Arabidopsis thaliana: one gene and its partner. The protein of the gene in region 1 interacts with the protein of each later gene in a biochemical or structural test. Each region holds a gene or a part of one and is shown in the gene's direction. Other genes may lie near its edges.

Region 1 (6,322 bases):
TCCATTAAACTTCGTAGATTTGACGGAGATTCATCTCGTGGCTTAGAGGACAAATCCCTAGTGAGTTTGCCTTGGCTAACACGCTATCGCGTATATGGGAAGATACTAAATTATATAATGACACTGAATTGAGGCGAGTGTGTGAAAAAAGTAGACTATTCAGTTGCTGCCTTAATAAGTACGCTGCTTCATTTTCCCAAGAGGGATAAGAAGCACGCTGTTTCATTTTCCCATAAAGAAAACGAAAGAACCGAGTAGTTTAGACTTAAGTTATTTATGGATTAAATATAATTCTGTAGTATATTTTAAAAATAAAATGTTACTAAATTGTATTAAAAAAAATATAGCTTTTTGTATATATATAAGCTGTTTTTATAATTTAGCATAGCATTTGAAATAAAAACAGATTTTTGAGTGTAGCTGACTTCTGAAAGAGATTCATTAGCCACACGATGCAAACCTGGCTTGTAGGGCTTTGTCATAGTGTCGTTAATATGTTACATAATATATTAGAGATTAATTAATAGTATGTTGTTTTTGTTTTAAAACTTCCTAGACGAAAACCAAATCATGAAATAAAATATTGTATATTGCAAGTAAAAGATACATTTAATTGTTATCATATAGGAATTTTAAACTGCATGTGTGAAAATTCCTCTGTTTTTATAGAACTAAATCAAATGTTAGCATTAATTCAATTATTTTTTTAAACGTTGTTCAAGGATTGCATATTTTCTAATACGTCTGACCAGTGTGGTTAGAGTCTAAATGGAGTATTCTTGCCGTGTAACCAAACACCGCATCCATAGATCTTGATCTCCATTTGGGAGATTGCCTCTCTAGTTGGAACAAGTGAACTATCATCATCTTTTTTCTAACTTCTCTTTTTTAAAATTTTTTTTTGAAAATTGGGTGGTTTTCAACCTTCTTTTTCATAAAAAAAATCAGAATCATTAGAGTTGGATACACGTCTCAAAATAACATTCTATATCTCTCGTTGACATGTTCTCCATATGCTTTAAAACTAATTATAATCACTCGCAGTATTAACTTACCTTATCCGCATATATATATGTTCATCGAATGAAAACTATGAAGGTAAGGGTCAGCTATATATGAAGAGATGGAGTTGATCACTTAACTTAATGTCCCCAAACACAAATGAATAATTTTCTATACCAACTTGTTAGAAGCATCTATTAGGGAGTACTATTCTTTTTGCTTTTGGCACAGAGAACAACAAACTTTATACGATTTTTAGAGTTAAGCTCTTTGAAATAAAACCAGTCGGATAACAGAACTTTGAAATGACGCTTACTTATAGCCAAAGTTTCCCATAGGGAAAAACCCTAATTAGGCTAAAGGAAAAATAATTTTGTATTGAAATGTTAGAAAACGGCGCCTTAATGTTTTGAGTTAATGTTGTGAAATTGCAAATGTTAGAAAGTTCAGGGTTTTCTAGACATATTAGTATTTTATTTTGGCCGTTGACAATATATGGGTTTCGTTTCTTTAACTAGTATCCACTTGATCAGAACGTGATATAAAATAATATTTTGGAACTTAAAAAGATGTCAAGGGTCGTGTTATCCTCCAGAAATAGGAAAAATGGAGAAGTATTTTCATGGAGTTTTATGTGTGTTCATCATCACAGTTGCTTTTATACATGTTGTTCAGGCTCAAGATCCAAACGGTATTATCTTTAAACCTTTGAAATTAAGAAACACTCTTCATGTTCTTTTTCTTAATTTGTTTTTTCCTTTTCTGATAATTCCTTTACATTGATCCCCTTATTAGGATTTTTGTTTTGGTTTAATGTTTTATTAGGATTCATCACTTTGGATTGTGGTCTGTTACCTGATGGATCTCCATATACCAATCCATCTACTGGATTAACATTCACTTCGGATTCTAGTTTCATCGAGAGTGGAAAGAATGGCCGAGTCAGTAAGGACTCTGAGCGAAACTTCGAAAAAGCTTTTGTAACTCTAAGATACTTTCCAGATGGAGAGCGGAACTGTTATAACCTGAATGTCACACAAGGAACAAATTACTTGATTAGAGCAGCTTTCTTATATGGAAATTACGATGGTCTTAATACTGTCCCAAACTTTGATCTATTTATTGGCCCTAATAAGGTGACAACAGTGAATTTTAATGCAACCGGAGGTGGTGTGTTCGTGGAGATAATTCACATGTCAAGGTCAACCCCTTTGGATATTTGTCTTGTTAAGACAGGAACAACTACACCGATGATATCAACCTTGGAGCTACGACCTTTGAGAAGTGATACTTACATTAGTGCCATTGGGAGCTCCTTGCTCCTCTATTTTAGAGGTTATCTTAATGATTCAGGTGTCGTTTTACGGTACGTAAACTTTAATTTGTGAAATGAATCTTTTTCTTGGATCTTGGTATAAAAGATAATGAGTAAATATAAAAATATTTTTAATCTTTCTTTGATGCCAAACATCTTTGAGGTTTTGTCTAGCTATGTCTAATACAAGATACGTATAGGTACCCCGATGATGTCAACGACCGTAGATGGTTCCCATTCTCATATAAGGAGTGGAAAATTGTAACCACAACTCTCAATGTAAACACTTCAAATGGTTTTGATCTACCACAAGGTGCAATGGCATCGGCTGCAACCCGTGTTAATGATAATGGGACATGGGAATTTCCATGGAGCTTAGAGGATTCTACCACACGGTTTCACATTTACCTTCACTTCGCAGAGCTTCAAACTTTGTTAGCCAACGAGACTAGAGAATTCAATGTTTTGCTGAATGGAAAAGTTTATTATGGACCTTATAGTCCTAAAATGTTAAGTATAGATACTATGAGCCCCCAACCCGATTCGACATTGACATGTAAAGGAGGAAGTTGCCTCTTGCAGCTAGTGAAGACAACAAAGTCAACTCTTCCTCCTCTCATCAATGCTATTGAACTTTTTACTGTTGTTGAGTTTCCTCAATCAGAAACAAACCAAGATGAAGGTTCGTAAATTTACATTTTTCATACATATGAATTGTAGCTTTGAATGTGTTTGATTCTTGATATATTATTAACTATGAAATTCTAGTGATTGCTATCAAGAAGATCCAACTTACTTATGGATTGAGTAGAATTAACTGGCAAGGAGATCCATGTGTCCCCGAGCAGTTTTTGTGGGCTGGTTTGAAGTGCAGCAATATTAATAGTTCCACTCCACCAACAATCACTTTCTTGTAAGATTTTTCAATCACCATAACCGTATCATAATTAAAATTAAATTCTCTATTCTAAATATATCACAATTGAAACATTCTATTTTCATGAATGTATCACTAGAAACTTGTCTTCAAGTGGACTAACCGGGATCATTTCACCTTCCATCCAGAATTTGACCCATTTACAAGAGTTGTAAGTATCACACAAACACATGAACAAAAGCAAACATTTTCTGTTTTCTTCTGTGATTTCTGTGATGGAGCTTTTCTTTTAAAACAATATCAAATGGCAGGGATTTGTCAAATAACGACTTGACCGGGGATGTGCCTGAGTTTCTAGCTGACATAAAATCGCTCTTGATCATGTAAGTCTCTTAAGACAGTATGAAACATAATAATGTGTTTTAACTATTTTTATAAGTTGTCTCCTTGTATTATTATTATTTTTTTTTTTAATTATTTTTTTTTTTTTGATAAACAGTTGTCTCCTTGTATTATATATCTCTTTTTTATACCTTAACAGAAACTTAAGTGGAAACAATTTTAGCGGTCAACTTCCTCAAAAGCTTATAGATAAGAAAAGACTGAAGCTGAAGTAAGTATTTATTACATTGATCTTCAGTTGATGATTATCATAGGTCTGATCAATAAAATATATAATGAAATTTTAATTCATAGTGTTGAAGGAAACCCTAAGCTTCTTTGCACAAAAGGACCATGTGGAAATAAACCTGGAGAAGGTGGACATCCCAAAAAGAGTATAATTGTACCGGTTGTCTCATCAGTTGCTTTAATAGCTATTCTTATAGCTGCATTGGTTTTGTTTTTGGTTCTTAGAAAGAAAAATCCATCAAGGAGTAAAGGTATTTATGGTGAACGCATAAGCTCTTATAATTACTATACACTAGTAGAAACTATACAAAATCTATGAAATTTTTATATTGCAGAAAATGGTAGAACTTCAAGATCATCCGAGCCACCAAGAATAACAAAAAAGAAAAAGTTTACTTACGTGGAAGTTACTGAAATGACAAATAACTTTAGAAGTGTTCTTGGGAAAGGAGGGTTCGGTATGGTTTATCATGGATATGTAAATGGTAGAGAGCAAGTTGCTGTTAAAGTACTCTCACACGCTTCAAAACATGGCCATAAACAATTCAAAGCAGAGGTACTTATAACACCAAAATATTCCTCTATGCAAGTGTCTTTTGTTAGTTTTCAATAAATATGGACCATAGATTTGAAATATATGTGTGCTTTTGTGGTTCATTAGGTTGAACTTCTTTTGAGAGTTCATCACAAGAATTTGGTAAGCCTAGTTGGATACTGCGAAAAAGGGAAGGAATTGGCTCTTGTCTACGAATACATGGCTAATGGAGACTTAAAAGAGTTTTTCTCAGGTAAACCAAATTTAAGTATTATACCAGACACCTAATCTTAATCCATTTTCGATGGAACAAAAACATGTAACAAATCATTCTTGGTCATAAGTTAACGTCCTGGTTAAAAAACACCCAGGGAAGCGTGGTGATGATGTTTTAAGGTGGGAAACTAGATTACAAATAGCAGTGGAGGCCGCACAAGGTTAGTAAAGCCTTATATATGAACCTATTATTCTCTTAAAACTTTAGTTTTGTATGACATATATAGGTCCAAATGAATTTGTGACACTAGGTTTGGAGTACTTGCATAAAGGATGTAGACCACCAATTGTTCATAGAGATGTCAAAACCGCAAACATATTATTGGATGAACACTTCCAAGCCAAACTTGCTGACTTTGGGCTTTCGAGATCATTTCTAAACGAAGGAGAAAGTCATGTCTCGACAGTTGTTGCAGGAACTATTGGTTACCTTGATCCAGAGTATATACTTAACACACATTGTTTTATTCTTAATTCAAATGATTAGAAACAATTTCAACATATTTTACATAATGTCTTGCAGATATTACAGAACAAATTGGTTGACAGAGAAGAGTGATGTGTATAGTTTTGGGGTCGTTTTATTGGAGATCATAACAAATCAGCGCGTGATTGAGCGGACTCGAGAAAAGCCACACATAGCAGAATGGGTGAATTTAATGATTACCAAAGGAGATATTAGAAAAATTGTAGATCCAAATCTCAAGGGAGATTACCATTCTGATTCTGTTTGGAAGTTTGTGGAGCTAGCAATGACTTGTGTAAATGATTCTTCAGCGACAAGACCGACCATGACTCAAGTTGTTACCGAACTAACCGAATGTGTAACTTTAGAAAACTCAAGGGGAGGGAAAAGTCAGAACATGGGTTCAACGAGTTCAAGCGAAGTGACCATGACCTTTGATACCGAAGTGAACCCTGTGGCTCGCTAGACTGCGCAAGGAAAATATCGGTTGCATTACATTATGTACATTCACATAAAGCAAAAATATTTTTTGCATGATTTCTTTGATTTTACTATTGCCAATAGAAGGTAAATTTGATGCATTCCTTCATAGATGTACCGTGTACGTAATAGTTCTGTATAACAAATAAAGAACAAAAGGCCTAGATATGGCACATTGCAGTTCTGATCCGTCCTGCTTGTTTCTTTGATTAATAAAGAATTTGTTTGCAAACTAGTACAAAACTTAATTATAAAGGTAGTACAGTCACTATTCACAATTAGTAATATAGTCAGGGTTTTACTGTTTGTGAAATAGAAAACTTGTGAGATAGAAAAGAAAGTGGGGTAGAGGGTATAGAAAGGAAATTACAAACAAGGGCTTTTTGTTGGGTGAGAAAGAGAGAGACGTGTATAGAGTTTGTTTAGTGGGTCTGTTTTTTTTTTAAATTTATTTTTCTTTCTTTACTACATTTCATCCCTTCTAAGTTTAATAACTAAAATCTTCATTTGTAAATTTTATTTTTCTAAAATTTATCATAAAATAAAAAATCTATATTTTCTTCTCTATAATTTGATATGCATTTTGTTTCATGATTTTCTAAATTTTTATTACAAAGCACTTTACAACAGTCTAACGACAAAATTATCTGTACAGCATAATATCTGTACAAATATATGTACAACAGTTTAACGACAAAGTTATATTTTCGTTTGTATCCATCCCCTTTATTTTCGTAGTCA
Region 2 (5,851 bases), on another chromosome or scaffold:
CTAAGAAAGATAGACACACATAATTAACAAAAGATAAACTAAATCGTATTAGAGTCATCATTTTGTCACCATCCAAATTCAAATTAAACTATTAGAATGTTAAGTGTCATATCATGTGGTTTAGCTATAAACATGTAATACTTTATAATCATTTTAAGTTATTTCTTATTACCATCATTCACTGGAATTTGTTTTACAACTTTTGTACAGTTGATCTTTAATAAATGAGCTAAAACTAAATAGAAGATTTTAAATTTTGATGATTGTCTATATATTTAGTGTAAAACAGTAAATGAAAGGCAAAAAAGCTGCAAATCAGATTCTGAATAAAAAACATGTTATGACGTCTAATCAAAGTTTTAGGATCCGAGAAGTTTACTTTTCTTGAAACACAATAATCGAAAGTTTTGTTTAATCAAAAGAAGCTCATAAATAAATTCTAGGATCCTAAATAGCTAAGTAAAAAACAAACTGAAATAGATTACAATGAATTCATACATTACATTTTTGTAGTTTGAGACCCTAGAAATACGATCTTGTTCCTCCTCTTTTGTTTATAGGCTCAGTTTTAAACCTTAATAAATTAATAATCTCGGAACCGATAAATTCTAATTAATTTATAAAGGTATTAATTTATTAATAAATCTTATAGAGAGATTTTATTAATTTTGTAATTTTTTAAAATTTCTATGTGAGAAGTAGTTTTTGTCTTTATAATCAATGTCTTTCAAAAATAAATTACAAATAAAAAACCAATTGTTAAGTTAGTAAACAAAAAACACTTTGTTCAATATAGTAAAAATATTAGAAATGAACTCTACTAAAAATTTTATACAAATTTAAGAAAAATGAACAATACTAGAGTTAAATCCCACTAATTTAATTAAATATATATATATATATATTAATAAGTGTAAAATTATTAATTTATGATATTGATGAGATCATATGTTTACGTAAGAGTTTTTAAAAACTTATTATTTTATAATTTCATTGATTTGTGTTATTTATTACATTGAAAACGTCAAGAATTTATTAATTTGTAAAAATAGTAATTTATCGAGGATTAGTTTATAAATAATTTACTGTATTAGCATTCACAAGGAATAAGCATAGTACATATATGTCCCAATGTTAAGTAAATCATTTTTTGTATAATTACTTGTCAAAAAAAAAAAAAAAAAAAAAATCATATAGAAACTAAAATATTTGGAAATATATATGGACTCAAAGGTTGTACAATTTTGGGCCTAACCGTATTATATATAATATACGGGCTAAATGTTACACGTATGAAGCCCAAAATAACCTCTCTTTTTTTTTGTCAAACTTGATTTGTAATTGAATTTTAATAAAATTAAATAATTGAATTTTAATAAAAATTAAATAATTGAATTTTAAATGCATATTTTTCGATAAAAAAAAAATGTCTGTTGCAGAAAATATTAAATGATACTTTCGCAGTGACGATTATTCCAAGGCCGTTTGCATGTGCAGATGTGCTTGATCATATAAAATCCATTCAAATTTTCTAACATTAGTAAATGAACAGTTCATCAGAATAAAAGAAACAGCTCGACATTTGGTAGAATCTCTAACCACACTTTTAAAGAAAAGACACAAACCTAATGGCTTCTCTCTCTCTCTCGAAGACAAAACACGACATAAATTTCTTAATCCTCATTACCTATCACCGACAAGTAATGAAACATCTCTATAATCTTATCTGATCAATCATATATAACCAAAAGCACTTGTTTTACTAATAAAACAAAGCAAAAATCATGTGAAATACAAGTTCTTATTGTTAATTTGTTATAGTAGTAATCAAATCAAATAAATAAACATTTCATCTTCTTGGATTCATTGCAAAACAGTCTGTCAAGTTGAGGTTGTGCAATGTGCAGTAATGAACAAACAACCAAACCAAGTTTAAGAACTTAAAGATTGCATTTATTGCCTCCACCTTAATTGGCTTTTCTACTTTCATTTACTTCTTCTTCTTCTTCTCTTGATCCAAAGTTTTCCTCTACACTACCTATAGATCTGTCTTTGTTCCTAGAAAAATGATAACTTTCAGTGAGTTTCTGTTTCTCTAAAGGCAAAACACATCTTCACTATGCAGATTTCTCTTCAAATCCATTTATCTTCCTTCACTTTTCTTCTTCTTATTTTCCTTCTTCCAGTACTCTCTGAGTCTCAGGTAGCTTCAAGTGAATCACAAACTCTTCTTGAAATCCAGAAGCAACTACAATATCCACAGGTTCTTCAATCATGGACTGATACAACCAACTTCTGTCACATTCGTCCGTCTCCTTCCTTGAGAATCATCTGCCTCCATGGTCACGTAACAGAGTTAACCGTCACCGGGAACAGAACTAGTAAGCTCTCTGGAAGTTTTCATAAACTCTTCACTCTTCTTACACAACTATCGAGCTTAAAGACTTTGTCTCTTACTTCTCTCGGAATTTCTGGTTCTCTTTCTCCTAAGATCATCACTAAGCTATCACCGTCTCTTGAGTCTCTCAATCTTAGCTCTAATTTCATCTCTGGGAAGATTCCAGAAGAGATTGTGTCTTTGAAGAATCTGAAAAGCCTTGTTTTAAGAGACAATATGTTCTGGGGTTTTGTCTCTGATGATCTCAGAGGATTATCAAATCTTCAAGAGCTGGATTTGGGAGGTAATAAACTCGGTCCTGAAGTTCCTTCACTCCCAAGTAAGCTCACCACTGTTTCATTGAAGAACAACTCCTTTAGATCCAAGATTCCAGAACAGATCAAGAAGCTGAATAACCTTCAAAGTTTAGACCTTTCTTCCAACGAATTCACCGGGTCGATTCCAGAGTTTCTGTTTTCGATTCCTTCTCTTCAAATTCTCAGTTTGGATCAGAATCTGTTAAGCGGGTCACTTCCAAATTCTTCTTGCACCTCCTCAAAGATTATAACTTTAGACGTGTCTCACAATCTTTTAACTGGAAAGCTTCCTTCTTGCTACTCTTCAAAGAGTTTCAGTAATCAGACAGTGCTTTTCTCATTCAACTGCTTGTCTTTGATTGGCACTCCTAACGCGAAGTATCAGCGTCCGCTTTCTTTCTGTCAAAACCAAGCAAGCAAGGCAATAGCTGTGGAACCTATCCCCAAGGCTAAAGATAAAGATTCTGCAAGAATCAAACTCGGGTTAGTGATTTTGATAATCATCGGTGTGATCATCCTTGCAGCAATTTTGGTTCTGTTGGTTTTGATTGCCCTCAAAAGAAGAAGATCAAGATCAGAAGATGATCCTTTTGAAGTGAACAACAGCAACAATGAGAGACATGCCTCTGATAAAGTCTCTGTTTGCAGCACCACAACTGCCAGCTCTAAGTCATTACCAGATTCAAGTAAACAATGACTTATCTTATTAATACTTGGACACTTGAAACTGAGTCTTTCTCTAGCAAAAACCATTAACAGGATCTTTCTGAGTGTAGGACGTGTACCACAGACAATGAGATCTGCAGTGATTGGTTTGCCACCGTACCGCGTTTTCTCCTTGGAGGAACTGGAAGAAGCGACTAACGACTTTGATGCAGCTAGCCTGTTCTGCGAACAGGTAAAAACAAAAACTTGACTTGAGACTCTGGCGACGAACCTAATAGATTACTTAATATATTTGGTATTCGAACAGCTGTATAGAGGTTGTCTAAGAGAAGGCATACCAGTGACAGTGCGAGTTATCAAGCTGAAGCAGAAGAGCTTGCCACAAAGCTTAGCTCAACAGATGGAAGTTTTATCAAAGCTAAGGCATATGCATTTGGTTAGCGTTCTTGGACACTCCATTGCCAGTAACCAAGACCACAATCAACACGCTGGACACACCATCTTCATTGTTCAAGAATACATCTCTAGTGGATCATTGCGGGACTTTCTCACAAGTAATAATAACCTGAAAAAGATTAGAATATATATTCAGGTTTCCATAGACTCAAATGGTTATTCATTATGGGAATTTTTGTGATCAGACTGTAGGAAGAAAGAGGTACTGAAATGGCCTCAGAGAATGGCGATAGCAATAGGAGTCGCTCGAGGGATACAGTTCTTGCATATGGGAGTAGCACCAGGAATCTTTGGGAACAATTTGAAGATAGAGAACATCATGCTTGATGAAACACTCACAGTAAAAATCAGTGGCTATACTATTCCTTTACCATCCAAGGTATAAAACTTTGTTTTATTTCTTCTTCTATTAATTGAATCTAAGAAAATTTAATGGCATTTCTAGGTTGGAGAAGAGAGGCCTCAAGCCAAAAAACCTCGGAGGTTGTTGTTGTTTCTTAAGATATGATCAAATGTGTTCTCTTCTATCAAATTTTGAAACTTGTTAATGAATAATGTGCAGTAATGAAGATAGAGAGAAAGAAGATGTGTACCAGTTTGGAGTGATACTACTACAAATCATCACAGGGAAAGTAGTTGCTGCAGGATCTTCAGAGATGGGAAGTTTGAAGCTTCAGGTCTGTTCTGTTTCAGTCAGAACCTTTTCATCTTTAAGAATCCGACACGGCTTACAAATTTAGAACCTCAATGTTATTATTTCCTGCAGCTGGAGAACGGTTTGAGAGATGAACCATCAGTATTGAGCAGCTTAGCAGATCCATCTGTTAAAGGATCATATGCTTATGAGTCGTTGAGGACGACAGTAGAGTTTGCTATCAACTGTCTTTGCGAAGATCAGAGCAAGCGTCCTTCCATAGAAGACGTTGTGTGGAATCTACAGTATACAATTCAAGTGCAGCAAGGATGGAGACCAAGCAGTGGGAATCATGAATCATCCATGAAAGCAATATATGAATGAAATGATCATAAAGAGAGGCAAAAACTGTAGAAACAATAATAAGTTTCAAACAAGTCAAGATGTAGTTTCATGGACTACCTGAAATATCTTTTATTAGCTAACTTAGTAATCTGTGAATAAAAAGCAAAAGGAGTTGAAAAACACACAAAGACATGTAAGAGAGTGTGTCCAGCTTTGCTCGACAACATTGCAGACTCTTCTGTTGTATTCGCGCTTGCTTTCGCTGAACATTCGTGCATCTCTTAAAACAAATCAGCAGTCTACAATCTTGCTAACCTGCTTGATGAAGACATCAAAATCTTCAAAAACCTTCACAGGTTCTTTATAACAAGAATCTCTGTGCCTGGAATACTATAGAAAATCCCAAAAGTTACTGCAAACCTCTCACTATGCTCACGTCTAACCTCTCCATCTCAACCACACTCCGTGTTTCGGGCAATCTCCAATACAGAAGTCTCTACCTCATCCAGCATTCTATAAACTTCCTTTGTTATGACTTGTATCGCTAGCTAAAAACAAGTGCTTGTGTTCCACATAACTATAATAACCATAGCTATACCCAGGTTAGGTAAGATGTCGAAAACAGCAAGTGGCTTTGCCAAGTTACCTCACCTAGCATACATACTACTGATCAATGCATTTTCGCTCACAAAACAAATTTTGTTACAATACCATTGGCTTTTACTAGCTTCTTACTTCTTGACCAATCTCTTGAGCCTCCAAGATAGATAGGCACAAGAAGACAGGATCATGACAAACGCTCGATGATCACAAACACATACACACCAGCTTCCTTCATTCGAGTTTGATATGTGAGCTCTCGTAGACGCACGTTCCATGGCGTCGAGAAGCCACCGCAGCGACGGTCATGGATATTGGCACTTTCGATGAGCTTGGCGTGTGGGGTATTTGTTTATGTGTCTATGAACCATTTATTGGCAAAAGGGTATCGACCAAACAAGATGGTCCATGTGGATGAGCCTGGTTATAAGTTTTTGGCTGTGTTGTTTGAAGTTG

Evidence for each region.
Region 2: the proteins of AT1G49100 (region 1) and AT2G02780 form a complex in vitro, tested with the Arabidopsis thaliana proteins (one large-scale study listed by BioGRID).

Annotation. Positions count from the first base shown.
Region 1 is NC_003070.9:18,165,392-18,171,713, reverse strand, and holds AT1G49100 (Leucine-rich repeat protein kinase family protein), read left to right. Parts: upstream 1-1,608; coding exon 1,609-1,693; intron 1,694-1,827; coding exon 1,828-2,368; intron 2,369-2,517; coding exon 2,518-2,999; intron 3,000-3,085; coding exon 3,086-3,230; intron 3,231-3,333; coding exon 3,334-3,405; intron 3,406-3,505; coding exon 3,506-3,577; intron 3,578-3,735; coding exon 3,736-3,807; intron 3,808-3,890; coding exon 3,891-4,075; intron 4,076-4,159; coding exon 4,160-4,380; intron 4,381-4,485; coding exon 4,486-4,612; intron 4,613-4,730; coding exon 4,731-4,796; intron 4,797-4,886; coding exon 4,887-5,076; intron 5,077-5,158; coding exon 5,159-5,567; 3' UTR 5,568-5,586; downstream 5,587-6,322. Other genes in the region: AT1G49110 (uncharacterized protein), read right to left, coding at 1-1.
Region 2 is NC_003071.7:780,915-786,765, reverse strand, and holds AT2G02780 (Leucine-rich repeat protein kinase family protein), read left to right. Parts: upstream 1-1,843; 5' UTR 1,844-2,119; coding exon 2,120-3,380; intron 3,381-3,470; coding exon 3,471-3,592; intron 3,593-3,667; coding exon 3,668-3,914; intron 3,915-4,001; coding exon 4,002-4,195; intron 4,196-4,261; coding exon 4,262-4,299; coding exon of another isoform or gene 4,300-4,324; exon of another isoform or gene 4,325-4,378; coding exon 4,379-4,493; coding exon of another isoform or gene 4,494-4,556; exon of another isoform or gene 4,557-4,582; coding exon 4,583-4,834; 3' UTR 4,835-5,092; downstream 5,093-5,851.